Linked DNA regions of Oreochromis niloticus. The protein of the gene in region 1 binds, or shares a complex with, the protein of each later gene. Links are inferred from orthologs where the notes say so. Each region holds a gene or a part of one and is shown in the gene's direction. Other genes may lie near its edges.

Region 1 (9,991 bases):
CATGAGGGAAATACAAAAGATTCCAAGGACATATTACGCAGAATTCAACTTGTCCCAGAGCTGAAAGGCCGGCTGAATAGTCAAGTTGTTGAACTGTTCTTTGCATGCATGATGAAAAATAATTACTTTATAAGTAATATAATTCCATCCACAAATGTGTTTCTGATGAGAAATATAATTCATCATTACTACACTGTCACCAACAAGAAACTTCTGGAGAGGCCGTTAAGACATGGTCGACTTGGACAGATCAGTATCTCATGGTCTGCACTGGGTCAAGCTGTCATAGGTAAATGACACATGGACTTTCACACAACCAGAACACTGTCATTCTTCACAGATTACATTTGTTCCTGATTGTGTGTGTATATTGCTGTTTTCGTGATGAATACATCAGAAAAGAAATCTGCCTGTACACTCATTACCTCCAGGCCAGAACCAGGTTTCCTCATCAGCCTCCAGGAGGAACAGAAAGAAACTTCAGTAGTACCTTAGCCATTTAGCGTTCTTTGCAGAAGAGAGACCAACTATGACTGCTGGCGGTAACACACACACACTTTTGCAGAGTCCAACTACAGGAACAATCAAAAGGGGAAGGTTTTGTTGCTTCCCTGCAGTGCTGAGACATCTAGCATCACTTAACAATTGGAAGTTGTAGAAGCTAACTGTCCCAACTGCCAGTCTTGGTAGCTGGGGATCAGTCCGCCAGGGATTGAGGGATTTCCACAGGTCTTATACAAAACACTACATAGAATGCAGCCCTCAACTCAACAAGATAATGAATGCAAGATTATCATTTCACCTATATATAACAAACACTATTCAAAATAAGAAATTTTACCAGTGTCACCAGACGTTGAAGCACGCCTGTAGGTTAGGGATACATATTTTAACCGTATCACTTTAGTAATAGCAGTATCACTTTGTACTTGGGTTAGCTTCACAAATTTGTCTTATGCTCTATCACACACAGTGGGGCCATTGTAAGTTCATGGAGGATGTTAAACAGATAGTGAGACTCCTGCTTATCAGGGATGTAAATCTTTAGGTGATGCTAAGCAGAAAACAAGGTCATAATTCTCTCTGTGAGGTGTAGCCCCCGCCCCATGACATGGGCCAACATGTAAGGGTTGTGGAACGCCGTAGTCTGTGTGTGTATATAAGATGTGAGGGCGGCAGCCATTGGCAGAGATCACCCTAGTGTTTGGCTGGGATGTTTCTCTCCACTTTGCAATGTGTTTATTAAACCACTTCAAATCACGCTCACTGCAGGTTATTGTTAAAACTTCCATAGCATGAGGAAGCTGGTTCTGGCCTGGTGGCTCGTGTTGGAGCCTGGACATTTATTTCAGCTGACTAAAGGCTTCTGTTTAATATGTGATTCTTCTGTGAGATATCAGGGAAACTGAAGCTGAAGGTTGAAAAAATAATGTTACATGTATTTGATGAATAAAATTATTTTGAAGAATAAACGTGTCATGCTGTATTGTCCCTTTGCGTGTGTTTGTCAATAGATAAAAAATACAATTTATATAACAACATATGGCACGGTCTCATGGTTATGTAATTATCCCATGGACAGATTTGTTTATATATATTATTACGTATATGTTTAATGTATTTTTATGTATGTTTTAGACCTGGGGGCAGAATTGCTTATGAACTGTTTTTTATTTAGGAACAGGCAGAGCGTTCTCACTTCCTCACTGGCTCATGTATCTCATTGTGTTGCACACTGGTTCACTAACTCTCGCACAAAATCACCAAAACACAGCACAAATCCTGCCATGATTCACTTCTTTATAAACCAGTGAATCGGTCATTGAAGCAGTGACATACCGAATGATATGAGTGGTCACGTGACTCTGTTCAGACTAACCAGTGAAGCAGTGTGTTGGTTTTTCATTACACATGCGTCGGAGCTTCAGCTTCAAACGGATCATCACTACTTACTGTGTTTCCAGTCAGTGAGGTTTTCTAGTAATAGGTTTTTTATTTACATCACCATGGATCACCAGCCTTTATTCAATAAACAGCTCACTATAAGTCTGTGTCGTCTCTATTAACACTGTAACACATGCAGACCCACGACGACATGGTTCAGATATGAGGAGAAAATGAAGTCAGTCAGATGGACAGGAAGCTCAAACTCTTTAAAAACGTGAATTCAAAGTCCACCATAAGAAAGCAAGCAGCAAAACTTTATTTATACAGGCAGAAGCACAACGTGCTGCTCAAAGCAGAAGCTAGCACAGAGGAGAATTTAAACCTCAGTAGACAGATTATAAATAATGATCATGTGATTCAATACGTTATTCCAGTATTAAAGGTAAAAGCAGCTTCAGTTATATTGTTGGAAACAGACGCTGGTCCCTGATAACCTGAGGTGTTGCTCTTAAACCTGTAGATGCGGTTCAGCATTAATGGAGCTTCACATATTTCCTGGTTTGTGCACTAATAATGAGCAGCCCAGACACTTACTGAGACCCCAGACTCTGCTTCTTAATCAATCCAATTTCCTGCTCAGCAGGTATTCAGAGTCCAGGTTTTAATGAGAGACACTTTCAGAACTAAAGTCCATTTTAAAACACACCTCACATGAAGATCACAATAATGACGCTATCAGTGGTCTTTGAGAGTCATCGTCACAGCTCCACAGATTCTTTAGAAGTCTGTGTTCCTTCACAGTAACTTCAGGTCTTTGGAAAGGCATCGATCCTCCTCACAGAGAGCAGCAATCAGAAGTGAGCTGGCTTCACTTCCTTTTCATCGCACCATGTCGATCACGTCTCGTGCTTTATCTGCCCTGCTCTGCTGTGATCTGACTGATTCCATCTCCTGATCATTGATAACACGCTGCTGCAGGAGTTTATCCAGAAGTTTGTTTAAAACAGATTCAGACACTCTTTCAATAAACCGTGAGCGAATTATGAACAGCCTCTCATCTGCCGGGACTCGGGCTTCAGCTGCTGGGACTCCGGCCTCTGCGGGGACATTCCTCATTAAGCTTTCTGTTCTTGGTGCTGAAGGAAAAAGATAATGTAAAAGACATTTAACTGCACTCTGAACTGCAGATGAAAAGAGACTTAAGTATGATTTCAGTTAACTTTTATTTCACTAGCTGGGCCCACGTCCTCAATTTAGGTTTGACAGCGTTTTGGTAGGTAAAGGTGAATGCTTGGACATGAACTGAGCTGCGGTTTGGGGAAGGCCTCGAAGGGGACTGGCGACGGCTCCCGGGCCTGGCAGATCCCCAAAGAAGGCATCCCCTAGAAGCAGAAACAACTGTGCGATATGAAGGTCGAAGACGTCAGCGGTAATAAATAATAATTTCGATTCGACTTATTTATACTGCACTGAGCCACAGTAATGAACGCCTCAAGACCCTGCAATGATCCATCCATCCATCCATCTTCATCCGCTTTATCCGAGGCCGGGTCGCGGGGGCAGCAGCCTAAGCAGAGAAGCCCAGACCTCCCTCTCCCCAGCCACCTCCTCCAGCTTATCCGGGGAATACCAAGGCGTTCCCAGGCCAGCCGAGAGATATAATCTCTCCAGCGTGTCCTGGGTCTGCCCCGGGGCCTCCTCCCGGTGGGACATGCCCGGAACACCTCACCCAGGAGGCGCCCAGGAGGCATCCTTGTCAGATGCCCGAACCACCTCAACTGGCTCCTTTCGATGTGGAGGAGCAGCGGCTCTACTCTGAGCCCCTCCCGGATGGCCGAACTTCTCACCCTATCTCTAAGGGAGAGGCCAGCCACCCTTCGGAGGAAGCTCATTTCTGCCGCTTGTATCCGCGATCTCGTTCTTTCGGTCACTACCCACAGCTCGTGGCCATAGGTGAGGGTAGGGACGTAGATCGACCGGTAAATTGAGAGCTTCGCTTTTACACTCAGCTCCCTCTTCACCACGACGGACCGGTGCAGCGTCCGCATCACTGCAGCCGCAGCACCAATCCGTCTGTCGATCTCCGGCTCCCTTCTCCCATGACTCGCGAACAAGACCCCGAGATACTTAAACTCCTCCACTTGGGGCAGGAACTCATCCCCGACCCGGAGTGGGCACTCCACCCTTTTCCAGCTGAGAACCATGGCCTCAGATTTGGAGGTGCTGATCCTCATTCCCGCTGCTTCACACTCGGCTGCGAACCGCTCCAGTGCGAGCTGGAGGCCTTCACCTGATGAAGCCAACAGAACCACATCATCCGCAAAAAGCAGAGATGAGATTCTGAGGCCACCGAAGTGAAAGCCCTCCGCCACTTGGCTGCGCCTAGAAATCCTGTTCATAAAAATTATGAACAGAACCGTGAACAGAACCATCACCCTGCAATGATGTGTACAGAAAAACCCAACAATCATATGACCCCCTATGAACAAGCACTTTGGCGACAGTGGGAAGGAAAAACTCCCTTTTAACAGGAAGACACCTCCGGCAGAACCAGGCTCAGGGAGGGGCGGGGCCATCTGCCGCGACCAGTTGGGGAGAGAGAAGGAGAACGGGTCAAAGACAAGCGCGGGGAGAGCGAACGTCGCTCCATGGTGTGGAGTGGATGAGCTCAGACAATTAGGAAGGAATGGCAGGAGAAGAGATCAAAGGAAATCGTGAACAACGGAAATCTTAATAGATGAACGAGGGGAACCCTCAATCATGTAGCGACGTGGCTCAACTTTGAGCTGAAGCTCTGACAGAAGAATGCTGGATTTGAGATTTGAGGTAAGGCTTGACGGCTCGAAAAGCTTGTGTGAGCTTGTCTTTGAGTAGAAGATGGAGAAGGGGTGCTTAGCTGGTTAGTTACTTCAGAAAAGGCAGCGATAACAACTGAGCTGATTTCTGAATGAACAGAAGTAACAGCAGCAGCTTGGGACGAGTTAATGAATTGAAAGACTGATTAGAGGAAAATAATCTCTATAATAATAACCCCCAAAATCGTCCGAGAGCAGAGTGCAAGTCCACTGGACTTCGTGGGAGATAAGCTGTTTAGACGCAGTCAGAACCGTGAGTCGACTTAGAGAGCAGTCTTGAATGATTGTGTTGAGGGTGGATGCCTGATGATGCTAGTGAAAACACATGAGAAGTGAAGGGACGCCATGAAGAATTATGCGCACGGCGCAGTTTGGATGTCTTAAAAAGAGCGATAGAGGACAGAACCTGGCATCCCGGTGCCACGAAGGTTCGCCGGTGCTTTGCGAAGGCAGGAAAGATGGCAGCGAAACTGGTATCTCGGGGTTTTGGGGGGGGGGGTTTGCACAAGTGACTGATGGCAGAAGCTGCCAATCCAGTACCAGAAGGTACCGTAAGGTACTGGATTGGCGCCAAAGGGAACGTCTGCTGCTTAGCATGTGTCTGCTGCTTAGCATGTGAGGGCTAGATGCAGAGAAGCTGACTTCCCAGCGGTAGAAGGTTTCACTGCTGCGTTGCTGTGATAAATGCAGAGAAACTGGCAACTCTATATTAGAAAGCGTGCTGCTGCGTTTGCGAATGAGGGATAAAGAAGAACCAGGCATCTCGGTGCCAAGCTTGCTATTGCATTCGTAAAGGAGGAACAGAGGAAAAGAAGCTGACATCCTGGTGCCGACGCTTGCTACTGCATTTGCGTGGGGGCATAGAGGAAGAGAACCTGGTATCGAGGTGCCAGAGGGGTTTAATACTGCTTTGCAATAACGGATGCAGAGAAACTGGCAATGTGGTGGAAGAAGTTTGCTGCTGCGATTATGAATGATGGATATAGAAGGAACCAGCTAGAAGGATTCTCTGCTGCTTTTGCCATGGTGGATGGACAGGAACTGGCAACTCAGGGGTAAGAAGCTTGTCTCTGCAGTTTGCACATGGCAGATATAGCAAGAACCTGACACCATGGTGCTAGAAGGGTTTGCCGCTGCTTGCAATGATAGATGCGGAGAAACTGGCAGTTCAGTAGTAAGGAAGCTAGATGCTGCATGCAAATGGGGGATGAAGGTATATCTGGCAACCCGGTGCCTTTTTATTTATTTATTTATTTTGTCTATGCAGAGAACTGCCAACCCAACGGTAGAAAAGCTGCTGCTGCTTTTGCGAATGAGGGACAAAGGAACCTGGCAACCCGGTGCCGATGTTTGCTGCAGAGTTTAGCCGAGGAGGGATGAGAGGCTGGGAACCTGGAACCTGGCAACTCGATGCCGAGGTTTGCTGCAGAATTTTGCAAAAGAGGAATGAGTTGCTGAGAACCTGGCAACCCAGTGCCAACGTATGCTGCAGAGTTTAGCCGAGGAGAGATGAGAGGCTGCGAAACCTGGCAACTCGGTGCCGAGGTTTGCTGCAGAATTTTGCGAAGGAGAGATGAGTGGCTCAGAGCCTGGCAACCTGGTGCCGATGTTTGCTGCATTTGCTATGGAGGGATGGGGTACTGGCAACTCTGTGCCCCCTTTTTTTTCTTCTTAACTATGGTGAGAAACTGGCAACCCAATGGTGGAAAAGCTTGCTGCTGCTTTTGCAAATGAGGGAGAAAGGAACCTGGCAACCGGGTGCCGAGGTTAGCTGCAGAATTTGCAAAGGGGGAATGAGTGGCTGAGCGCCTGGCAACCCGGTGCCGATGTTTGCTGCAGAAATTTGCAGATGGATGGGTGGCTGAGAACCTGGCAACCCAGGGCCGAGGTTTGCTGCAAAGTTTAGCAGAGGAGGCGTGGGAGGCTGAGAACCTGGCAACCCGGTGCCGACGTTTGCCGTGGAGTTTAGCAGAGGAGGGTTGAGTGGCCGAGAACCTGGCAACTCTGTGCCGACGTTTGCCACGGAGTTTAGCAGAGGAGGGATGAGTGGCCGAGAACCTGGCAACTCGGTGCCGAGGTTTGGTGCAGTTTAGCTGAGGAGGCGTGGGAGGCTGGGAGCGTGCCAACTCTGTGCCAAGGTTTGGTGCAGAATTTTGCGAAGGAGGGATGGGTGGCTGAGAACCTGGCAAGCACGTGCCAACGTTTGCTGCAGAGTTTAGCAGAGGAGGGATGAGTGTCCGAGAACCTGACAACTCGGTGCCGACGAGGGATGGGTGGCTGAGAACCTGGCAACCAGGTGCCAACGTTTGCCGCGGAGTTTAGCAGAGGAGGGATGAGTGGCCGAGAACCTGGCAACTCTGTGCCGACGTTAGCTGCAGAATTTAGCCGAGGAGGCGTGAGAGGCTGGGAACCTGGCAACTTGGAGCCGACGTTTGCCAGGGAGTTTAGCAGAGGAGGGATGAGTGGCAGAGAACCTGGCAACCCGGTGCCATGTTTGCTGCAGAGTTTAGCAGAGGAGGGATGAGTGGCAGAGAACCTGGCAACCCGGTGTCATGTTTGCTGCAGAGTTTAGCAGAGGAGGGATGAGTGGCAGAGAACCTGGCAACCCGGTGCCATGTTTGCTGCAGAGTTTAGCAGAGGAGGGATGAGTGGCCGAGAACCTGGCAACCCGGTGCCGATGTTTGCCGCAGAGTTTAGCAGATGAGAGGTTGGAAACCTGGCAACTTGCTGCCGAAGCATACTGCATTTTGCCTCCGAGGCATGGAGAACCAGCTCAGTGCCTTCGTGTGTGTGCGTGTGTGTCGTCTTCGCTGAGAAACTGGCAGTTCGGTGGTAGGAAGATTGCTGCTGCGTTTGCGAATGGCAGATAGGGAAGAACCGGGCATCCCAGTGCCAACTTGCTTAAGCATTTAGCGAAAGGAGGATGGAAATATCACAACGATGGAGAACGGTAGAGAGTATGGAGCTAGCGACAGATTTTCAGCTTGCATTAAATGGTGTTAGTAGGAAGGAGTACAGAGCTGAGCTTCCCCCTGCTATCTGGCGCTGGTGGGTGGGTGGAGCTACGAAGTATGCTGTAGCTTTTGCTGTTGGAGCTGCGATTTGTTTGGAAGCGTGGGTTCGGCCTGACGCCCATCGGCTTTTCGGCTAACTCGCCCGGTCTGTGGGCTGTGAGTTCTGCTGACGGGCGACCCCACTGGTTTTCACTGACGTGGCGGGTGGCCGGAGTTACTTCATGACTGGATTTAGAGATTTAGAGAAACTAAATCTGGATGGATGGACGTAACAGACTGTATGTCTGGTACCGTGACATTCGGTGTGTTTCAGGGATTGCCGGAGGAAATGCGATGGATGCAGAGCTTGAGTAGTTGTTCGTCTGACGCGCTGACAGACAAGAGGGCGATTGTAGCGAATGGAAGGGTGAGTAAAATTACGTTACTCCTGAGAGATGAGCTGTGTTTAAAGGTATTCACCGAGAATGGACCCAAAGCACGTACAAAGCTACCTAGATCACTTAAATTACACAATTGAAAGCATATGTATGTTGTTTGTGTATTTATACACAAACACTCATATATATTCAAATAATTAAAAAAAAAAAAGTTCATTTACCTGTTACTACCACACACCAAATCCGGTCGTTGGTACTTCCTGGCTTGTAGCCACTAGGTAACAAAAGCTCAACACTGCCTCTAGCATCCTGGAGCACTTCTGTTGTGTTTTAGAGTTTGTACGTGCTTTGTCTCTAGGGGCCACCATAAATATACTTTTATTTATTCACTCCACATTAAATGTAATAAATAAATTATAAAATACAAAAAACTACTATGTACATTTCAACTTTTAACTATTTACATTTTCAGCTTTTTCCTTTTAAAGAAATTTAAATTGAAACAACACAAAACACTGCAAACCACAACACAATAAAATATAAATTAAAATATGCAAAATCAAAACAATATTCACATTCTCTGTCATATGGGCCTGGGATGATTTTTTGGGAGAATGTTTTCCTGCTTGGAATTGCATACATAGGATTCACTGCATGAATAAACTTTCTGAATCCTTTATCATCCACAACTAAAAATAGTTGTGGATGATTACTATACCTTTCTAATGTGATGATGCTGTCTCTTGTTGTTGTCCCTGGCTCTCTTTCTCTCTCTCTCCCTCCCGCTCTGTTCCTGTGCTACTGCGAGTGTAACTACCGCCCCTCCCCCCTCTGCTCAGCGCAAGCACAAGGCTCACGTGTGGAGTGAAGCAAAAAAGTGGCTTGCGTCATTCACTACAAAGATCCGGATCTAAGAGCTGTTTCGTTCGCGACCGACATATCACTAATAATAACAACTGTACTGCAGTAAAACATTCACAGCAGGTGGGATAGACAATATTTAAATGCTGACCTGAGGAATCCTGCTTCCGGGTCCAAACTACTCTGCATTTATTAAGGCTGTTGTGTTTTTAACATGTTTTAATGCTTTATATTTTGTTCTGTTTAATCTGAACAAGCCCCTAAAAACAGTCAGTGATCACTGTCGGCCTTCCTCGGTTTTTATTACCACTGTTCATTTTAAAGCTCCGTTTTCAAAACCTTACAGTACAGATGATGGCGGATTCCTCTTCACTCACGTCTTCCTCCGACAGTTGCCGGTGCGAGCTGGCCTTGCCAACTCCCCGCTGCTGTCAACGAAGGATTACTTCTCACTCGCAGAAGAAGCAGATCGCATTTTCCTGGGAATCAGGAGCTTTGGCATCCAGGCGATAATTCACAACTCACCGACGGCATCTCCCGGCGGAAAAGGGCTGTGTTTTTACCATCAGCGGAACAGCGCCGTGCCACGTTTGCAGTTTTAAGGCCCAGGGAAACGAGCCCGCCAGCTCTTTGTGGCAGCTGCCACCGCTGGCGATAAGGAACGGCTGCTCTTCATTGAGGACTTGTGCTCGGAGAGACGTTTTCTGGTTGACTCTGGCTCCCAGAAGAGCCTCGGGAACTCTTGTGTCGTCTTTGCATACCTCCACAATGGTATATCATTTAATTTTTAAAAAATTGGAGATTTCCCGTGTACCACCAGAGAAAACCCAAGCACCACTAGTGGTACGTGCACCACAGTTTGAGAACCACTGATGTAGAGTAAGCAGAGTTCAGACACAAAATGAAATGTCTCTTTGTTACGTTTTATTTAAAACGTAACAAAGAGAGAAAAGCAAAATGATGTGTGACATGTAGAAGAAAACAGAAGAATACATGA
Region 2 (10,459 bases), on another chromosome or scaffold:
GGGAACAAAGTGACCCGGCTCATTTACTGAGTTCAGCAGCAGACTTTGAAGTTTGAGAGTCGATACATATATGAAAATGACTCGGCTCCGTAACATGTTCCACATGTTTGCAGGTTCTAACTTGTGAATGATGCAGTAAAAGACAGTCAGGTTGGGATTGACCTTTTCACGCAGGTGTGTGTCTTTATCAGCCCATCAGTTGCAAAGCCAACAAGTCGCGTGTGTAACATTCCTTCAGAGATGCCGTTCAGTGCAGATTTTTCTAACTGCAGGATGACGCAGAAACAGCCCTGGTGTTTAAGTGCAGTTCAACAAGTTTAAATAAGAAGCTGCAGGATTCACATTTATAGGGAACTGTGATGTCAGCGTGTTTGACACTCTGGAGGAATATTTCCAGGATTCATTTGTGAGTCTTCCGGAAAATCTGAGACTCTGGAGTTGATTTATTTCTCTTTTATTTAGTCAACAGCATTTTTCACTCTGAAACTGTGGGGCTTAGTGGCTTAATGAAAATTGGAACAGGCGTAGCGTCATCTCTGCTGTCACGGCATCACCGCGCTGAAAATTGAAGTGAGATTCTGATTCGATTGCTGTTTGTGCTGTAGACGTTTTCACGATGCGCCGCTAAAATTATATCTCTTTGCCTGAGGCACTAAATCCAGTGATTTGACAGTTAGTCTTTGGTGGTTTGCCTCATTGTCATCCATAGCTTAGTTCAGCCTTAACTAAAGCCATTACATACTGCTAATGAGGATATTTTCTCCTGTTCCCATCTGGGAACACAGGAAGCTGTAACAAGCAAACTGCATTGCCCTTCTTGAGACCAAAAGGAAGTATATTATACTGAATCACTGGGATCCAATTAAAAAAAGGAATGCAGCTGCATCAAAATACTGACCTGCTCTAAAACAGTTTCTCCATATTGAAGCACAACCAACATATCAAGACATTCAGAAGAGAAATTAATTTGCAGACTCTTAAAAAAACATAATAAAATTTTTTAAAAAAACACAGTTTAGAAAGGTCTGCTAAATTTAGAGACTTTTCACAGGAAATGACAGCACTTACATTAACTTTAACTTCTTATTTTCTATTCTCAATCGACTAAACATCTTCATGTCTTTCTCTAGATCCTGTCCTTGGAGAAGCAAGTGTCCCCAGACCAGCCTTCTTCAGTCCAGGTCAACAAGTCCGGCGTGCCACAGGCACCCCCAGCCTCGTCCCTGAGACCATCAGCCTCAGATTTGCCGCTGCCTCCGCCCACGCATTCACATCCTATAGGAGCTTCTACTCTCACCCTCAAGGACAGGGACGGCGAGCCGTACGGAGCCAGCCATCGCTCCAGTACCACCAACCTGACCACCGCCATGTCAAGCTCCCAGAAACACCTGCCGCACAACAAGTCCACAGCCAGCCTGGCATCGGATACCTCCCTGCCTATTGCCACCGTGGAGCTTCAGCAAAGGCTTCATCAGCTGCAGAAGTAAATGGCAGATATGATATATTACTTTTATTATTGTTTATTTTCCAGCTTTTCCAGCTTGGCTCATCTCAGGGTTTCTTATTGTTTTTCGATCAACTTCATTTAAATTCTGCTGTGGCCTCCATCTAAATGTCATCGTGATTTTTGAATATTCATCTTTATAAATATTTTATCAGCCTACCCGTCAAACAATTAATCAGTCCCTGTATGCATGCACTTTGTAAACTCGGCCGCAGCGCCTGGACGTGACACTGACTGACTTTGGTGTGTTTATAGTGGCTCGACCCCCAGCCAGTACCCCCTGGGTGAGATCCAGCTGACTGTTCGACACAGCTCCCAGAGGAATAAACTCATTGTGGTGGTGCACTCCTGCCGGTGAGCTCCAAACTGCTACAATACACTGAATTTACACAAAGTGGTTTGAAGGACTTTTTGTTTTTGGGTTCTTTGTGCCATTAACTTGAGTTTGTGCAGATTCATCCCTTGGTATTCAAATCACTTTCTTTCCTGTGGAGCTGCTAACTGTAAAGATTTAACAAGCAACATGTGCCTGGCAACATGTGAGTGAAAACACATTTGTCCTGTGTGTCCTCAGCAACTTGATAGCCTTCACCAAAGACGGCTCGGACCCCTTCATACGCCTCTATTTGCTGCCTGACAAGAGTCGGACGGGGAGGAGGAAGACAAGCACAATGAAGAGGACTCTTAATCCTGTTTACGATCAGACGTGGGTTTGCATCAGTACTTGTTGAGATGCCTTGCAGATTTGTAACGTAATGTGATTTTTGAGGATCTGCTGTTTTGCTTCACCTGTGTCCGATTGTTACAAGCTCTGAGAACATTTCTGCCTTTAGCTGCAGTTATGCTGCTGTATTAATTTGATAACTGGCTGTGTTTTGAGAGTCCTTCAAAGCTTTCCTTTTATTTCCAGTTTTATTGTTCAGTTATATTTTCAGGGTCCTTTTTGAACTCAGACACGAAGCAAGGGTGCAGTTGCGGAATATTTTATTTTTTCTAGCAATAGAGCTATTTTATTACTGAAGAAAAGAGCTTGCACAGACGATATGACCCTGCTGAGCTGAGATTCGTATCACATTCGGCCGCTGTGGATCCATCACCTCAAGTTTCTGTTTGTTTTGGACACTTTTGTTTGCAGTTGAGCTTCAGTGCTCAGACTAAATCTTTTGGCCTCATGGATGAAACCCGATCGCATCATTCAGCTCCTTCGTGTAGGCTGGAGTTAGCACGTCGGTGCTTTCCTAGTCCCGCTGACTATTGATGCAGTTGTATTGATTATCAGCCATCTTGAGCCTGCAGGGGTTTTCAAAGTTTTGATGACTTAGTGCAAACTTAGAGAGCCAGTATGCCCATGTCAGAAACACTTGATGCTGGTTTGCAGTTTAACTATTAGCGGGGGAGGCTGATGAAATTGTTAACAACAGCTGTGCAGTGGCTAGAACAGAAGACTTGAGGTTAAAGAGAAAGAGATTATGGACTCACACAAACACTTAAGCACCTGCTGGCACTTACTTAAACTCCACTGGCACCATGTTGAAATCACAAATCAGAAATACCAACTTATCTGTCTCTCCACAATGTGGTTAGCAAGCCAAACAAACCACGCAAGGCCTCAAGTTTACACTAGTATATGCTGCTTTGTTGTGAATTCAAAGTCAAATAATTTAATACAGTTTGCAAATTTCTTTGACTTACCTTTTGTTTAAAGGACCAGAACAATCCCCATATTTGTCATAGTCTGGCCACGGAGCCATGACAAAGACCCAGTTTCAACCCATTCAATCGCCTGTTTATCCATCCATCCGTTTTTTGCTGCTCTGTTAGTCAAAGCAGTGATACCCAGGCCTCCCTCTCCAGGGCCACCTTCTCCAGCTCTTCCAGATCTCTCCAGCATGTCCTGGATCTGCCCCATTGCCTCCACCCAGTAGGACAGTACACATCATCCATGATGCATCCCAGTTTGATAGTTGAACTATCTCATCTACCTTCTTTTTGTGTGGATGAGTCGCAGCTTTACTCTACCCCCCTCTCAAATGAGCCAAAGGCTGAGCCAGACACCCTTCGGAGAAAGCTTGTATCTGTGATCTCTTTCTTTCAGTCGTTACCCAAAAGCTTGTGACCATACGTGACTGATTAAGCCCTGTCCACATGTAAAACAATTCATTTGTCACACATCAGTTTGTTTGTTGACAGTTGGTCACTAGTGGACATCCCCGGCTCCAGTTTCCTTGGCATCCCTGTACTGTATTTACCACCTTGTCTTATATCAATCGACAGTATCCTCTCATTGGGGGTTACTTTCATGGCTTGCCCCAAAGTTGAGAAAAGTTTAACTTGGAGCCCGTCCACTTTGCGCCGCCAGCTACAAAGTTGCTAAGTGTCTTTGTTTCTGTTCACCACATCGCTGTTAGTCCCCACTCTCTTTAGTCAGCACTGTCTGAATCTTTAGGCAGCCGTAGAAATTGCATGGTGCTAAGTGGATGGAGAGCAAGGTAGCGCAAAGCCTGAGACAAGCAGCTCTTAAATGCAGACCGGCCGGGTGGTCCCATTTACACTGATTAACTTCACCCACCAGGACCCTGCAAGAAAATGCAGAGGGACAAAAGGGAAAACGTAGAGAAGGCCCAGACAATGACCACACACAATCTGGATTTTATGCTAAACATAAAAAGTGTATGCTTATGTTTGTGTGCGTGTGTGTGTTCGCAGGTTTGAGTTTAGTGTATCTATTGTGGAGCTCCACAGGAGAACTCTGGATGTTGCTGTGAAGAATGGAGGGAGCATCCTGTCCAAACACAAAGGGCTTCTGGGAAAGGTATCTCCTGCAGGTTTTCCCTCTAGTGTAGTTTATTACTTTTCCAGCCTTCACTCCAGGTGCTGATTCTAAACATTTCTTGTTCTTTTTCTTTGTTTTTTGCCTAAAATTGCAGGTTCTGGTGGATTTAAGTGGAGATGACATAGCAAAAGGAATCACACAGTGGTAAACTAGCATTTTATGTTTTTCCTGTGCAACATTGAGTTGATTCTTGGGGGTAAAAAAAATGCTAATTTCTGTCCTTAAATATCTAATTTCATCATTTTCTGTTGCAGGTATGATCTAAGTGAAGATGGTTTGTCGTCTCAAGCCACAAAAAGTATCCAAGACCCCGTCGTCACGTAGTGGCACCACCTCTCTGCTGTAACATAGTTATCTTGTTAACCTAAGGGCACATCCTTCTGTTGTATTCATATATAATTTCCATTTAGTTAACAGGAATAATTTCAGCATGTTTAGTTTTATTTTTGTCAAAATTTCCTGTTAATCTTTCATGAGCCTGATTGGAAGATGTTGTAAAATATTTTAATGTGTTCAAACACACTTACTGCCTTGTCTCTGTTTTCAGTGTTTTAATGTAAATATATATAGTTATAAGAATTTGCAGGGGTTTTCATGGCATTATACTTACCTTGGAGGAGTCGTGTTGAAATCTGTCACGATTCTTATGACTTTGTATCCGGTTTGTTAAAATGTGAAGAATTTTCATTTGTTGTCTGAGAAAACTCTAACCAAAGGAATTGATGCACACAAATGTAGGCTTAAGTAGCAGTCCTGATTTGAGATTTTGATTTTCCTTTGTCACCCAGTGTTGATTGATCGCTTACCTCTCGTTATAAATGCTTGATTACGAACATGGAATGCTGATATGCAAAGAATAAAATGACTGCTGTGCTGTGTATATTTTAGGAGATTTGTGCAATAGTGGTTGATTCTGAATGAGACTTGGGGACATTTTAGGGCTATGAGCAAGCTCTGTGCATTATGCAAAGGATACTTGAATAAGGGTTTGACTGTTTTCAAACCAAATGTAAGTTGAAAAAACTGAGAAACATGAACAGGGACAACAGTTTTCGCATTTTATGAGCAGGGCTGCCAGAGTCTGTGTGAAGATCATGCATCTGTGTCATGCTTGTGTATGTTTTTGCCATGCAGTTATGAGTTTCATGGGAGCTGTTAAATACATTTCTGGTTATCTATCCTGTGCCTTAAAAAAACCCACACAAATATAATTTACTTGCCTTCTTAATGTTATTATTTTGGATGGCTTTTGATGAATACATGTTTTATCTTGTGAAAGTTGGTGTGCATTTTTTATTACCCCATTTTCATGTGCTTCTGTGATGTTCCCCAAATTTTGCAACTTTGTTGTGTTTAAAGTTGTGTTTAAATTTGGAATATGAAAATCAAACGGATGATGTCTTGTATTTTGGTCTCGTTTGAACAACAAGATGTATTTGCTAAGTTTCAGGTTGGCTGAAGTTCAGGAGGTGGAGCAGGTCATATGGGAAGGTTAACAAGGACCAGTGCATTTAATCTAAGCTGATATTTTTTTAGATTAGTAGTAGCAATTTAATACCATAATACAAAGGAGCTGGTAGCAAAACGATGCCAAATGGTACATGAATTCGCAGCATTAATCTTAACGTTTACAATCAACTATATATTTACTTTTGACCTGTCGCTTTCTGCGTACCTAAAAAGCAATTAAGGGAATTTCCTAATTGTTTTTTTTTGTTTGTTTTTTTTTATCTTCAGTTGGCATTGACGTGATTTTTTTCGAGTTGTCCTTTTTCCGATTATTCTGAAATCACTTGAATGCATAGTAAATCTAGCAAAGACTGAATAATAAACACTTTGAATTACGATATATTATGTGAGGTTTGGTGTGCGCCTTGCAAAGAAATTTCTCTTGACTGGGGTCTAATCCACAATATGAATCATCCACAGAAAAAGAAATACGAAAATGTCACTCGTTTACGCTTTTTGAGACACAGAACATCTGTAGTGGTTTGCCGCCATCCAGTGGCAAAAGCAGAGAATTGCAACTGTACGTCAGCGTCGAAACAAACGTGATGACGTGTGGAACCGACTTTATCCAAATTTGCGCGGGTTTACTGTTGTTATGGCTTGCTGTCATTTCACTGTTTCCTATTCACAAAAGCCTTACTAAAAAGGTAACGGACGAAGGAAATGCTGCTTAATTCAAATGCGCATCATTGTGAGCCTTAATACCACCCAACCCGGCGTCTGCAATTAGCACTTTTGACGGTAACGACAAACGGACTGCCATATTTGTTGTTGTGGAGTTGTTACAGCGAGACAAGCTAACGCTACAGCGGCTTCATAGCAGCATTACAGGAAAACTTACGGTTACCTCGGATCGCTTTGGAAGCAGGAATCATGTCCAAGCGAGAGGCATTTTTAGAAGCAACCTGTAAAGAAAATGTGGAGGACTTTCTTCGCTTTATTCAGCTTCACGTAAGTAGCTAACTCAATGCGAGTTAATCCTAAAACACCCAGAAGCGTCTCCTGTTTAGCCTCTTTAACACAGCTGTGAGCTGTAAGTAGTACAGGAAAGTGTTCAAGTCAGGTCCTAAACATGAGATGCAAATAATATGGTTGCTGTGTTCACTATTAAATGCTATTTAAAGTTTAAGATGCGGAGTGTACTCATGGGGGGTTATAAAAAAAGGAGTCCAGTTATTTGAAAATGCTTGTTTCGATCCCAATTTTGACAAACTGTTACTGTCTGTAAAGTAAGCATTTTTCCCTCCTACATGTTTTTTTTTTAATACCCACCAAAGAGGTTTTGGCTTTACACCAAAGGAAAAGTCACCAGGACGACGATAAAAAATCTTTCAGACTATTTTTTAATAGGCTTTGATTTAGTCAAGCATAAAATATATCAGAAATATCAAGAAAGTGCACGCACTCCTGTTCAATAAGCTAAGACAGACTCATCGTGTTAAGTCCTGTTATTATTAGGTACACCTTGCTTTTGCCTTCAGAAATGCTTTAATTATTTGTGGCAGAGATTTAAGAAGATGATGGAAATATTCCTCAGAGATTTTGCTCCATATTGACATGACAGCGATGCACAGTTGCTTTAGATCTGTCAGCAGCACATCCATGATAAGAATCTCTTGTTCTACAACATCTCAAAGTTGTTCTATTGGACTGAGATCTGGTGACTGTTTGGGACATTTGAGTGCAGTGAACTCACTGCCATGTTCAAGAAAGTAGTGGGAGGTGATTTGAGCTTTGTGGCATGGCAAGCAGCCATCAGAAGATGGGGACACTGTTTCCATAATTGGATGGAGATGGTCATCAACACGACTCCAGTAGCTGTGACATTTAAACCATACTCAACTGAAGCTGATGGGTCCAAAGTGTGCCAAGAATATATCCCCCAGGCCATTACATCACCAGCAGCCTGAGCCATCGATGCAAGGCAGGATGGATCCATGCTTTCATGTTGTTTATGCTAAATTCTGACCCTACCATCTGAATGTCACAGCAGAAATCGGGACTCATCAGATCAGGCAACGTTTTTCTGATCTTTTACTGTCCAATTTTGGTGAGCTTGTGCAGATTGTACCCTCAGTTTCTTGTTTTCGGCTGAAAGGACTGGCAGCTGGTGTGGTCTTCTCCTGCTGTAGCCCATCTGCTTATGGTATGACGTGTGGTGCATTCAGAGATGCTCTTCTGCATACCTTGGTTGTAATGAGTGGCTATTTTACTTACCGTTGCCTTCCTATCAACTTAAAGCAGTCTGGCCATTTGCCTGTGACCTCTGATGTCACCAAGGCATTTTCACCCAGAGAAATGCAGCTCACTGTAAAGCCTAGAGATGGCTGTGTGGTAAAATCTCAGCAGATCAGCAGTTCTGAAATACCCAGACCAGCCCGTCTGGCACAGACAACCACGCCAGATTCAAAGTATTTTAAATCACCTTTCTTCCACGTGCTCATGCTCCGTTTCAACTTCAGTGGTTCATGTTGTGTGTCTACATGTCTAAATGCACTGAGTTGCTGTCATGTAATTGGTTGCTTCACAAGCAGCCTGGGAAAAGGTACAGGGAGGAAAACCCCCAAACTGCAGGATACAAAGTTGATGTCATGCAACGTTAGTATATAAATATAATTTAAGCCCAACTTTAAAGCAGAGACGCTCTGCCCTTCCTGAATCCAGCTGAATGCTCTGCAAATGTACTCTTTTATAGCTGTAGGAGGCCTGTACTCTGAAATAAAAGTGCTCAGTTTTACACTGTGAGGTCTTTAAAATGTGATGGAGCCCAATGATTAAAGGGTTTTGAATGTGAGGAGGACAATTTTAAATTCTACCTTTGGTTTAACAGGGAGTCAATGGAGAGAAGCCAAAATGAGAGAAACATGACCTTTCTTTCTACTTCCTGTCAGTACTCACACTGCAGCCCGAGCTGAGGCTTTTCTCAGAGTTATGTCACAGATGGATAGTAAGCAATCACACCACGCAAGTCCACAAGTGTTACAGAGAGGCAAGGCAAAACCACCCAGCATAATTTATTGATAATAAGCCTGTTTAACCCTCATGTATAGTTCATATTTGATGGCTTCGCAGTATAATTTGGGTCAATTTTGACTGGAGCCAGGGATTAAAAAAAGGAAGAAATTTGTCCTAAACTAACTCTGACTCAGCCTGGTGAGAAGTAAATTGTGGATTTTTATGGAGAGATAAAGGATGTGCTGAAAGGTATAAATAAAATGTGCATAATAGCATCCTGATCATCCTGTTCTCTCAAATATCTTGTTTTAATAAACATGGAGGTCACAATTGACATTGGAATTATAGTTTGATTAAACAGACAAAAATCATTTCTTCAGGTATTATATTTTTATTAAATGTACAAAACATGTGGCTGTCCAGTCAAAGCTGTGCCTGTCTGTCTATAAATCTGAGCAGAAGGACAAAGCTGAGCCCTTCGATGTGGAGGAGGTGTTGCAGGAGATGCCCAGAGAGCAGAGAGAGGCCCTGTGGAGGAGACTGGCATCTCTGCTTCGGGACATCCTGCTGGAGTTTCCACCAGAGCGCTGGGAGGGCAGGGGGGAGGAGGAGGACATGCAGGAGGAGCCCACTGCAGACTCTGTGAGTAAAAGGATCAGCTCACTGACCCCATGCTTAGTCTTTGTCAGTGATATTATTCTAATATTAAGAACTAGATGTATGCAAAGCACTCCTATGTTGATGTTTGTAATATCACATTGCTTTTAAGTTTTTTGACGTTTTGCTTAATTGTATTTTTTAACATCTGGTGCATTAACTTTTTTCCCAGAAACACGCTGTGGCTGTTGTGGACGGCGTGACGCTCGTCTCTACAGTGTCTCTGCAGGTTTTACAAGACGATGACCCCTATAGCCCCCTTCTGGAAATTACCCGACGTCTTCACGGTGAGTGTTTATGTTTTTTGCACATTTTTATAGCAAATGAGTTGCATATGATGCTCTTCCCATTCAGATAGATAGATATTTATACCTAACTTATAAATATGTACATTATAGAGCTTTGATTATCCTGTAAGAGTAGAAAACAGCAATTATAAGTACCAATCCATTTACCAGTTATGAAAAAACAACCTGAGAAACCATCATAATTGCTCAGTTTATGAGATGAATCGTGGACGTTTCAGTGAAAATGCTTTTATTCTGCAATGAGGCCAGAAAGTCACATGTTTTACCTTTGCAGTCTAATTGCCATGTGAGGATCCTTGCCTTTTCAGAAAAGCTTAAATAATAATAAGCATCTGTGTGTGTGTGTGTGTGTGTGTGTGTGTGTGTGTCCTTCAGATGTACTGGTGTCGCTTCCTGTCTCAGAGGCACCTCTGCAGAACCACATCCACGCACTGTGTGAGGCCTGGTGGAAGAAAGGGCTGCAGGAGAAAGAACGGTTTGGGCGCACGGCTTTCTTTGTGTCTCTGCAGAAGAGCTTCATTCTCAAGAAACCAGTGAGTGTAACCCCTCAGTCACATGTCAGCTCCTCAGCTCTTTCAGCATGTTTTCACTCTGAAAGAAATGTTTTCCATCAGTAGCCAGTGCGTCTCACAGCAGTCTGCTGATAACTGGTAACCTTTGTGATCTTTTGTCTCTTGTCAGGGAGCTGAGATC
Region 3 (9,415 bases), on another chromosome or scaffold:
TGAAACCTGAAGACATTGGTGAGGCTAATAGCCAGAGAGCCATCTGATCTTTATCAGAGTCCACAAAGATCCAATCAGAGCATCAGATCACTGTGATGAAGGCGTCACCTGCATGTGTCTTTGTTTCATTCCGAATCATCTGCTGATTAAACAGATCAGACCGTGTTCACTACAGCACGCCCATTTTCCACGAGTAAACAGCGCTGCTGATGTCTCACAGCAGCTGGACCACCACCCGAGGTTCTCCCAGTCTGGTGGATTTGTGGTTGCTGGTGTGCTTTCTGGTTTCAGGTGTTCTCCTGGAAGTGAGTAGAGTGTGAGGATCTGCTCTCTCTGCTCTCTCTGTGTTAAGCTGAGGTATTACAGGATTACAGGTAATACCCATCAAGCTTTGCTGTTCCACACACACACACATATACACACATACATTCCCGTTTATGTGTTTGGAGAGGACCTTGTGACCCTCTGAGCCACATCTGAATCTAATAAATCAGTGTTTTTCTGTTTGAGGTCATTTCAATGCAAAGAGTGGACTGTGCTGTTTTTGAATGTCTATATGAATAATAAGAGCTTTCAGTGTCAGTTTGATGATGAAGAATTAGCCACACCGCCCTTCTTCTTTAATTAGTGAATGAATGCTGTTTAAGGAAATGTTTGACCGGATAACCATAAAACCAGACTACAGTACAGGACCAGGACCTGGCAGAGTCCCTGTTCTGCTCCACTGGATCTAATCTGTGATTAATGAAACAGAGAAAGAGTCTGAGAGCTTTAGATGTTCCTGAAAGAGGTGCTGGACATTAGGCAGATTTAGGCATCACTGAGAGGACTCTGACACTGATGATGGTACTCATCATGGAGCCTAAAATTTAGCTTTTACTGAGTAACCACAAGATACTAAATGAGCAGAGAGACAAGCAACACGACCAACACCATAAAAATACATGGAGTTGAGTCAGAAACAAGTGAAACAGCTGCTGCTCCCCTCCAACAAGGTTAAACACATTTCTGGATCCTGAGGGTCTGGACCTGGATCAGGCTGTCACACTCCCAGCAGCACCACAGGAGCCTGTTTGTCTTTTAATATATTGTACATTAAAGTACAATGAATTAAAATATTACTGCTCACCTGTGAATAAATGCATCATATGAGAGTCACTGATATAGCTTTGAACCATTTTGTGCTCTGTGATCTGAGATCCCATCACGGCTTAGAGTTGCAGCAAAGTCTGAAACTCACAGACTTCTCTCTGAGGGCTGCCCGGGTTTACTTTCATCCACCTGAGCAACACAACATCCCTTGAGAAACCTCATGCTCTTATTTTGAAAGTTGAATTGCTACTAACGAGTTTCCTGCAGGTAAACTGATGTGAGACTCCTTCTCCGTGTTGGTGGAGGTGGTTCATTTTTACTTTTAGTACTCTGGGGCTGGATTGAGAGGTACCTGCACAACTCCTGCTGCACCTGTGTTTCTGAGAATGTACGCCGTGAGGTCAGCAGCAACAACAGCACGTCTCGGCCAATAGAGTCACACCTTTACCCAATCCTGACAGGCGTCAAAAACAGAGGGTTCTAACGCCTGAGAGGCTCACTGTCGGTTTGAGGAGCTTGTGGTGGTTTCATAAACCATCAGCGCTGCTCCCAGTGGATTGTGGGAGCTAAAAGGGAGGGAGGGGACCAGTGACCCGTGCTGTCATCCAATCTCACGGCTGCTCGCTGAGACCTGGAAATTGGGGTGAAAAAGGGGAGCGGGTTTAACCCTGATGGGTTTTTCCAGCCAATCAGCATGCCTGACGGGAGAGTCGTGACCTCAGCATTCTCATATTCATCTGCACGCGGTCAGTTTGAGCCATTCAAGGCAGCTGATGTATGTGACTGCAGTGAGGAAGATGTGAAACACACACACAATAATACACGGGGGGGGCCACCACGGAGGGGCAGAGGTGCAGATTATCCGATTGGACCGTGATAATACTCTCTAGAAACTTCACCATCTGTACGCTTGTGCTTCACACTTCCAGTGTAAGGACCAAGTCTTCACACAAGTGTTTCCCGTTTCCCTCATTTACTTCCTGTCTTATTTTGAAGGGTAGCTCCTCGAGTGATTTGTGGTGTTTTTATGTCTTCTTCCTGTCCTGGTTTTTGGCTGTGACTGAGTTCACCTCTTCCTTGTTATCCTCCCTGTGCTGTTCGTATTCCAACAAAACACAAAAAGAAGAAGAAGAGACTGAAACTTTGGAGTCAAAGGTCAACATTTAAACCCAAAACACAGAAAATACTTCAGTGATGTACAAGTACATTACACTTGAGTAAAAGTGCTCAGTTACACCACTGATCCCATCCATGCTCTTTTCCAATGGGAATTAAATTAACAGGACTGACGTCCAATGGCATGCCACGGGTGTGTGTGCTCTCACCCTGCACAGACTTCTTAACTGAAAATTTTGTTTTAACAGAGTCCATTCACAGAACTGTTCCAGCAGTAATCAGAGTACAGCGGGCATACCGTTGGTGTAACCTCTGAGGAGGAGGAGCGTGCTGATCTTCACTCCACTCACTCGCTGAGATTCACACCTCCTCATTACCTCATACCACTCGCTCCGCTGTCTCTGACATCCATGGCAGGTGTTTGGAGGTCAGAGGTGCAGACTCCTCCTCCTGCTGTGGAACGTGTTCTAGATACCAGACTGTATATTTAAGATGGACATGATGTAACCCTTGAGTTTCTGGTGAATTACCAGCAGCCTGTGTCACCATCCACCTGTCAGTCACAGAGGCCACGCCCATAACAATGCAGGGTGGGAGCCTCTGGTGGAAGTTAGAGGAACTGCAGCTGTTCAGGTTAACGTGCTGTGAACTCTTAATGATTATTATTATAATGCTGATTAGATTTACTTGTGTGCTGACACCATGAGTTATCAGGTGATGTGCACACGGAGGTGTTTGTGGGGGCGGAGTCTCTGTGCTCACTGTTGCTACGGGTGTGATGGAGCGCAGCAGGCAAATATGACTGTGACACATGGCTCAGCTTCACCTGCAGCTGAGTCCAGGATGTTCTGCTGCAGAGTCACACCTTCCTCTGACAGACGCTCTGTGTTATTAGCCAAAGACTGTATGTAAAGGATGGCTGTGCGCCACAGCAGCGCTACCTGTTAGTCTGTAGCTTTTCTGAGACATTTTGTGTTGGGCTAAGAATGGCGTGCAGCTGCTGGCATTTCAGTAATCTGTTGGCGCTCCAGTGGAAGAGATAAACGATGAAGAGGAGCGCAGTGCGATGGGGATGGGGTGTTGCTGGGAAACCTCTGCGTGCATTGTTTTCTCTGAGTTTATCAGAGGAGTATTCTTCATAATCACATGTGGCCAGATGTTTTCCACAAGTGTTCCTCCTGAGCCGTGACGACGTTTGCGTCCTTTGTCGTCTTGTCTCTGTTGGGAAAGTAAAACAGTGGGACTCCCAAGCAGCATGTACACCTCTGAGGAGGAAAGACAAGGAGGAGGAGGAGGGCGTCGTCTCCTGGATTAGAAATCCGGCTGTTTAAATTAGGAGTGTTAAATTTAGGTTCTGCTGCCCCGTCATCCTCCTCTCAGAGGCATTAATTACAGCTGTCCTCTCAGACTAATAATACTCACTAATGCTGCTGCAGGAGGAAGAGGAGGCTTCCTGAGACCCAGCATCATCATCATCATCATCATTGCTTCTTAATGACATCACCTGCTGTTTTTGTAAATAAAGTTTTATTAAATCACAAAGAATAACTGGTTTCATGTGTGGAGGAAGAGTCACACACACACACACACACACACACACACACTCTGAGGACGACCTGAAATCAGATCTGTGTGCAGAGGAAATCTCATCATGTTTCCATCTGCAGATATGATTTGTGATGGTCAGAGTTCAGACCACGGTGTGCTTCCGATGATGTCACGGCACACGGCTGCATGGCTCCGCTCACTGCTTGTTTTGTTTCATGCCCAGGTAGTCAACATTTAAACTCTATCAGGTCGAACCAAGATGATCATATTTTTATGTGTCCTTCACATGGCTTTGATTGTCTGCACGAGGGCTTTTATTCTGAAAGTTAGCCAGATACTCGATACTCTTCCTGCCCTCCTCACCTGTTGGTGGATTGCGAGTGTGGTCTGGAGCAGGAGTTTCAGGCTCAGAGGAGAGCAGAGACCTCCCTCAGTGCACTTCCTACTCCACAGGGGGCGTTCTCAAGCTGCAGACTTGTTCATGGTGTTCGCATTGAGCACTAGAAGAGTGAGATGAGGAAGAGTACACACATTCACGTCAGTATTACGACTTCTCACTTCATGGTTTTATTTTTTCTAAAAGATTATCCAAACAGCTTGTGATTATTTTTTTTACTTATTACTTAATTGATTATTTATTTTGTTTTTTGTTGTTGCTTTGTTGCTTTAGGATTCTATAACCTTTAACCCTACACTAGTAGTGTAGCACAGGGTTTTATTTAGCTTGTTATCATGTATAAACAAAAATGAAACAGGGGCTTTAAATACTGTGATATTACAAAATAATTCCAATGAATGAATATGGTTTTAGCCTGATATCTGCAGATATAAATATGAAATATGGAGTCCAAATTCTCATTATTTGACTTGGCTTTGCTCTTGCGCTGTTTTGCGCATGTCAAATTATTTGTATTTGTTATAAACGGATCCCAAGGTGCAGGCAGCAGCGCGCCCAGTTTCTTTAAACTGCAACGCTGCCATCTAGCGGCCGGCAGCCTGCATCACACCAAGGCACCGCCAGGGGGCAGCACGCGGAGCTGCTACACAGACAAGAGCAGCGAAGAAGAAATTTAACGCGGGTACTTTGAGTGTTGTGCTAACGGCTACAAACAGTTAGCCCCGGTGTGGCTGAGCTCAGGGTTTTCGGTAAGTTTCTCTCTGATTTTACTCCTTAAACACCGTCGCTGCTTCATGTTAGCGACACCTGCTTATTTTCAGGTATTTCTCTTATAAAAAATGACCAAACTGAGCAGTTAAATGAGCCAAGTGTTCAAGCGCTGACAGCTGCAGTCGCTTAGACGCTCCGCCACACTGCGTTGATAATTCTGACATATCTGAGTTTCATTCGGATTGATGTAAAAATCGACCTCACAGAGGATTAGTTAACACGGTTTACTAAACAGTGGGATGTCCCGGTATATTCGGCGTTAGATTAAGAATAAGTTAATTTGTTAAGTTTATCTTTTAATCACAGGTTTAACTACAGCGATTAAAATAATCACATTTTTGAACGTACTTTGGTTTGATTTCGTTCTTTTTTTATGTCAGTTTTTGCCGCTTTCGCTCGTAGCAATTATCACGCTGTTTAATAGAATTCACAGCTGCGATAACGCAGTTTTGTTTGATTTTGAGGACAGATGAATGCAAAGAGTTCACCATGAAAACTGATAATCGATACTTAAATCGATATGTACAGTCCAGCTGTAGCTCTGCGCTCGGATCAACATTACAGGCTTTTATGAATTTACTATTATATCAAATTTGGGCTGAATGAAAGTCATCTTTGCTTGAGTTTAAAATGAGAGAGTGTTCCATCTGCAACTCAGAGCATTGCAGAGAAACGAGCTGCTTAAAGACGGAGTGATGTTTGAGACCCCGCAGGATTCACAGCCTGTTCTGGTTCTACCTGTTTCAGGTGAGATGGAGTCCACAGAGAGCCGATACGCTCACCTGCTCCAGCCGATCCGAGAGCTCACCAAGAACTGGGAGATCGACCTGGCGTCAGAGCTAAACGACTACTTAGATGAGGTAACCTGAATCCGGTATTCAGATTTATTTTTACCACAGAGGCTCTTACTTTGATAGCTTTCGTCCTCCTTACAAACTGACACGAGACAGCAATATCTGTCTGCATCAAATATGTGGTCCATACCCCAAAACAGGCTCACCTACAGGTTCAGTCTGGCTACCTGGGTTCTTTGTAAAGAGTAAAAGCAGCAGAGAGAGGGTGTCAGTTTTAGCAGTAAGCTCTGCAGTACTTCTAATGCAGACAGAAGAAGACAGAGCTGTAATTGGAAGGTAACAACCACTTTTCAGGCAAATTGCTCTGGGTCCAGCAGCTTCAGGTGATCCACAGAGACACAAACGAGTATCCAGGTGGGATTTCAGTCAGTCACAGCCTGAAGGAGTGAAGCTGAGTAACATCTGTCTGTGTGTCTGCAGCTGGATGACATGTGCATCACCTTTGATGGTGGGAAAACCCGGCTGAACTTCGCAGAGGCTGCGCTGCTCATCCAGGGTTCCGCCTGCATTTACAGCAAGAAGGTGAGCCAAACACAAGTCACATGACCCCGCCCAGGCTGTGATGGAGTCATGTGACGGCATCTGCGTCTGTTTCAGGTGGAGCTGTTGCACAGCCTGGTGTTCCAGACTCTGGAGTACATCAACGACAAGAACAAGAAGTAGGCATGACTCCGCCCACATGCTGGTTTGATTTTCTGCTGTAGGTTCACGCGTTATCTTTGTGCTCTCCCGACAGACGCAACAAGCAGGCAACAGAGTCTCAGGAGGGTGATGGCAGAGCAGCGAGCAGTCATGATGCTGACAACTTGGAGGAGGTAAAAAAAAGACCAGGCAGCTTTTATTAAAGATGGTTCTTTACCTGAGAGAAAACTTCCAGAGTCACATTTCGTCCCTGATTCGATTTTCAGCTTTCATGAGGCTGGTAAAGGCTTCATTCATTTAAACACACTGGCGATAAAGTGCTTTGAGATCTGGATGTTAGACTCAAAAATAAACCGCACCAAGGAAAAGAAGTATAAAATGTTTCTGTTCAAAAAAACTAATTCAAAACTGATAGCTGACATTTTTTTATAGACTTCAAAGAAAGTCTATGAAACATGTTTTCAGAGGTGATTTAAAGGAAGCACCTGACTCTGTGAGCCTGGTGTCATTAGCCTGCTTGCTCCAGAGCCAAGGTCTTCTTTAACCCTCAGAGACTGCAGAGTGAGCCGAGCTGTAGAAACAATCCGGTCCTGGAGCAGACAGGAAGTCAGGGTCAGCTGGAACTGAAGCGTCTGAGGTCACTGAGTGTGAAGCTGTTTGGGTGAAAATGTGGCATCTGTGTTCAAGAATATAAACAGCAAGTTACAGGGGACCTGGAGCAAGCCCTGAGGTACCCCTCAGGTAACGTGAGTTAGCAGGGGAGAATGAAAGCAGGCACAGAGTCAAGGTTTTACTGTTACAGCCATTCTCTAACAATGCTCACAGGGCGTTCGGGGTTACATAGTCACTTCATTCAGTCACTGGCCATATCATATTCAAAAAATTAGAACCTTAAATGTAAAATATTCTTTATCGTGATCATTAATTATTTTATTTTAATTATTTATTATTAATGATCTAGATTTTTCAGTTTCAACCTTTAATCATAAAATATAAAATAAACATTGACCTCAAATTTTCACAGAAATTCTTTTTAAATATATATTGTGTCATTTTTGCCTTTTTATTTTTCCTCCTTTTTTGTAACTCTTTATCCTGTCGAAGTCAGTTGTGCTCAGGTGTAAATGAGTAACATCATTTGTGTCCTTCAGTTTTCTGTGTTGGACCTGGAAGGGTCGGACCGATCTGAGAAATCTGATTCCAACACGGTGAGTTTGATTCTCTGAGGTCAGTTTACCTGCAGCTCGTTCTGGCCTCTGACCTCTGCCTGTGACCTCTGACCTATGCAGACTGTGGACGTGTCGCCTCTTCCTCCTGAGTCTCTGATTGCACCTGAAACCCACGAGAAGAAGAAACTGCCTCTCATCAGGTCAGTGATCTCGCACAGCAACTAAATGAGAGCTAATCCCCGCTCCCCCATGATGAGGTCTCACCTGGTGCTGTGCCTGTGTGTCAGTGTGAAAGGTGAGATCCTGTGCAGTCAGAAGGACTTCAGGATCAACCTGTTTGTCCCAGGTGAGGGCGACATGATCCTGCTCACATTCAGATCAGTTGCTTCCACTTCCCTGGCTCACAGTGACTCCGCTCAACTAGAGACCCAGCCCCCAGGTACACCTCACCTCACCTGTTCAGTCCTTCATGACACATTTCCTCCTGCTTTTCTTCCTTTTTTTTTTTTCTTCTTGACTTTCACTACTTTGGTTTCTGATTTTTGACTGCCTCAGATGCTGTGGTTCCAGTGGATGCTGAAATGGGCAGAGCTGATGCTGAGGAGGGTGGAGGAGATGCAGCAGACGATTTCCTCCCCTTAGAGTTGGACAACATGGAGCAGGAGGAGGAGCATGTGGACAGATTGCAGGTGGAGGAGATTTCATCTGTTAGAATCACAGAACAGTTTCAGCCACCACCTTTTCATCTTCTTTTTCTTGTGTAACTTCAGTGTCGTTGGTATGTTTCAGGCTCCGAGTGATGGTCGGATGATCCGAGAGAGGCAACAGCTGGAACCCAACAAACCGAGGAGAGAGGAGCCAGTTCCTCCTGCTGTATGTTAATCTCCTTTAATCCCCCAGATTGCAGCTCAGTGTTCGCTACAGGAGCGTTTATTTTCCTCTAGTCAAAAATCTCACAAACATAAAGCACAACAGTGCTTTTATTTTGAAAAAATGAGTTTTCATAAAGCTCCGGTTACTCATTTTGTTTTCTAACTAGATTCATTAAATTTTACCTTTTTACTAGAACTTCATTATGAAACATCTTTGTGTTTTTTTTCTTCAGGTGAATGTTTGGGCGTTCCATGACCCATACGCCATGCTTGAGGAGGACAAACCGCTGAAACCAGGTAACCATGGGGACCGTGTGGCGTGTTTCAGTGTTCAGTCTGCTGGCGCTCACAGAGTTTTGTGTCTTCTGCAGGAAAGTGCTACAGAGTTCCCGACGGGCTGGATGACTGCGGGAAGAGGAAAAGGAAACGAGCCGCTTTCCTTCAGGACTTCAGAAGCTGGTTCAGAGGAACCTGTAAGAACAAACTGCTTGAAGCACTCATGTTCTTCGTGTGGACCCATTATCTGTTAACATGTCACTTCTTGTTTGTGTTTGTTTGTTTCAGTTGACCCTCCAGAGCACAAGTTGAAAAATGGACCCACATTTACAGGTAACAATAGACTGAAAACGTTTCTGTTCAGAAAAAAGACTTTTAATCTGAAGATTTGAATTTATACTTCCTGTTAAATGAAGCTGAGACTTCCTGTTTTTCAGACCTCAACTACATCTACCTGAGCACGATCAAAGACAAACTCAAAAATCAGAAGAGGATCAACAGAAGAGCCGTAAGACGCACACACCATCATCCATGCTGACATCACAGTGATGTCAGCAGTGACCTCAGCTGCAGTTCAGGTCGTTTTATCAGGGTCAAACTGCGTTATCGTCAGATTATGACTCATTACTATCACATTTATTATGTCACTCAGGGCGTGACGATGTCTGACGAGGAGCT

Evidence for each region.
Region 2: the proteins of ncapd3 (region 1) and ncapg2 are in contact, whole or in part, in a cryo-EM structure (PDB 9F5W), measured with the Homo sapiens proteins. The link is inferred for Oreochromis niloticus from reciprocal best matches to the Homo sapiens genes NCAPD3 and NCAPG2. Residues at the interface, in NP_056076.1 of Homo sapiens: Glu1213, Lys1216, Ile1217, Pro1218, Leu1220, Gln1247, Ser1250, Glu1251, Tyr1254, Lys1258; in NP_001268861.1 of Homo sapiens: Phe291, Lys332, Pro333, Ile334, Trp336, Lys340, Ala341, Arg342, Arg347.
Region 3: the proteins of ncapd3 (region 1) and ncaph2 are in contact, whole or in part, in a cryo-EM structure (PDB 9F5W), measured with the Homo sapiens proteins. The link is inferred for Oreochromis niloticus from reciprocal best matches to the Homo sapiens genes NCAPD3 and NCAPH2. Residues at the interface, in NP_056076.1 of Homo sapiens: Arg589, Pro591, Met629, Glu680, Arg683, Tyr684, His690, Lys724, Glu793, Asp800, Gln803, Arg804, Arg807, Gln817, Leu820, Gln865, Leu866, Cys867, Pro868, Ala869, Arg870, Val871, Val918, Ile925, Lys929, Leu932, Gln933, His934, Ala956, Asn960; in NP_689512.2 of Homo sapiens: Trp22, Ser68, Lys69, Glu72, Tyr75, Tyr79, Leu82, Asp83, Ser86, Ile144, Ile145, Pro146, Leu147, Leu148, Met150, Ala151, Leu152, Val153, Asp156, Glu159, Asn161, Asn162, Asn163, Pro164, Leu165, Tyr166, Ser167, Arg168, Gly170, Leu173.

Annotation. Positions count from the first base shown.
Region 1 is NC_031978.2:31,867,454-31,877,444, reverse strand, and holds the start of ncapd3 (condensin-2 complex subunit D3), read left to right. Parts: upstream 1-5,711; coding exon 5,712-5,797; intron 5,798-9,340; coding exon 9,341-9,500; intron 9,501-9,596; coding exon 9,597-9,765; intron 9,766-9,991.
Region 2 is NC_031974.2:16,399,742-16,410,200, forward strand, and holds the start of ncapg2 (condensin-2 complex subunit G2), read left to right. Parts: upstream 1-6,377; 5' UTR 6,378-6,719; coding exon 6,720-6,797; intron 6,798-9,260; coding exon 9,261-9,443; intron 9,444-9,630; coding exon 9,631-9,745; intron 9,746-10,141; coding exon 10,142-10,299; intron 10,300-10,447; coding exon 10,448-10,459. Other genes in the region: esyt2b (extended synaptotagmin-2), read left to right, coding at 1,131-1,483, 1,760-1,858, 2,079-2,210, 4,211-4,316, 4,432-4,481, 4,592-4,661. UniProt on the Homo sapiens protein: Regulatory subunit of the condensin-2 complex, a complex which establishes mitotic chromosome architecture and is involved in physical rigidity of the chromatid axis.
Region 3 is NC_031981.2:22,673,096-22,682,510, forward strand, and holds the start of ncaph2 (condensin-2 complex subunit H2), read left to right. Parts: upstream 1-4,747; 5' UTR 4,748-4,902; intron 4,903-5,671; 5' UTR 5,672-5,676; coding exon 5,677-5,784; intron 5,785-6,198; coding exon 6,199-6,300; intron 6,301-6,375; coding exon 6,376-6,437; intron 6,438-6,514; coding exon 6,515-6,593; intron 6,594-7,571; coding exon 7,572-7,628; intron 7,629-7,709; coding exon 7,710-7,789; intron 7,790-7,876; coding exon 7,877-8,028; intron 8,029-8,144; coding exon 8,145-8,278; intron 8,279-8,378; coding exon 8,379-8,462; intron 8,463-8,694; coding exon 8,695-8,758; intron 8,759-8,832; coding exon 8,833-8,934; intron 8,935-9,025; coding exon 9,026-9,070; intron 9,071-9,174; coding exon 9,175-9,245; intron 9,246-9,389; coding exon 9,390-9,415. UniProt on the Homo sapiens protein: Regulatory subunit of the condensin-2 complex, a complex that seems to provide chromosomes with an additional level of organization and rigidity and in establishing mitotic chromosome architecture.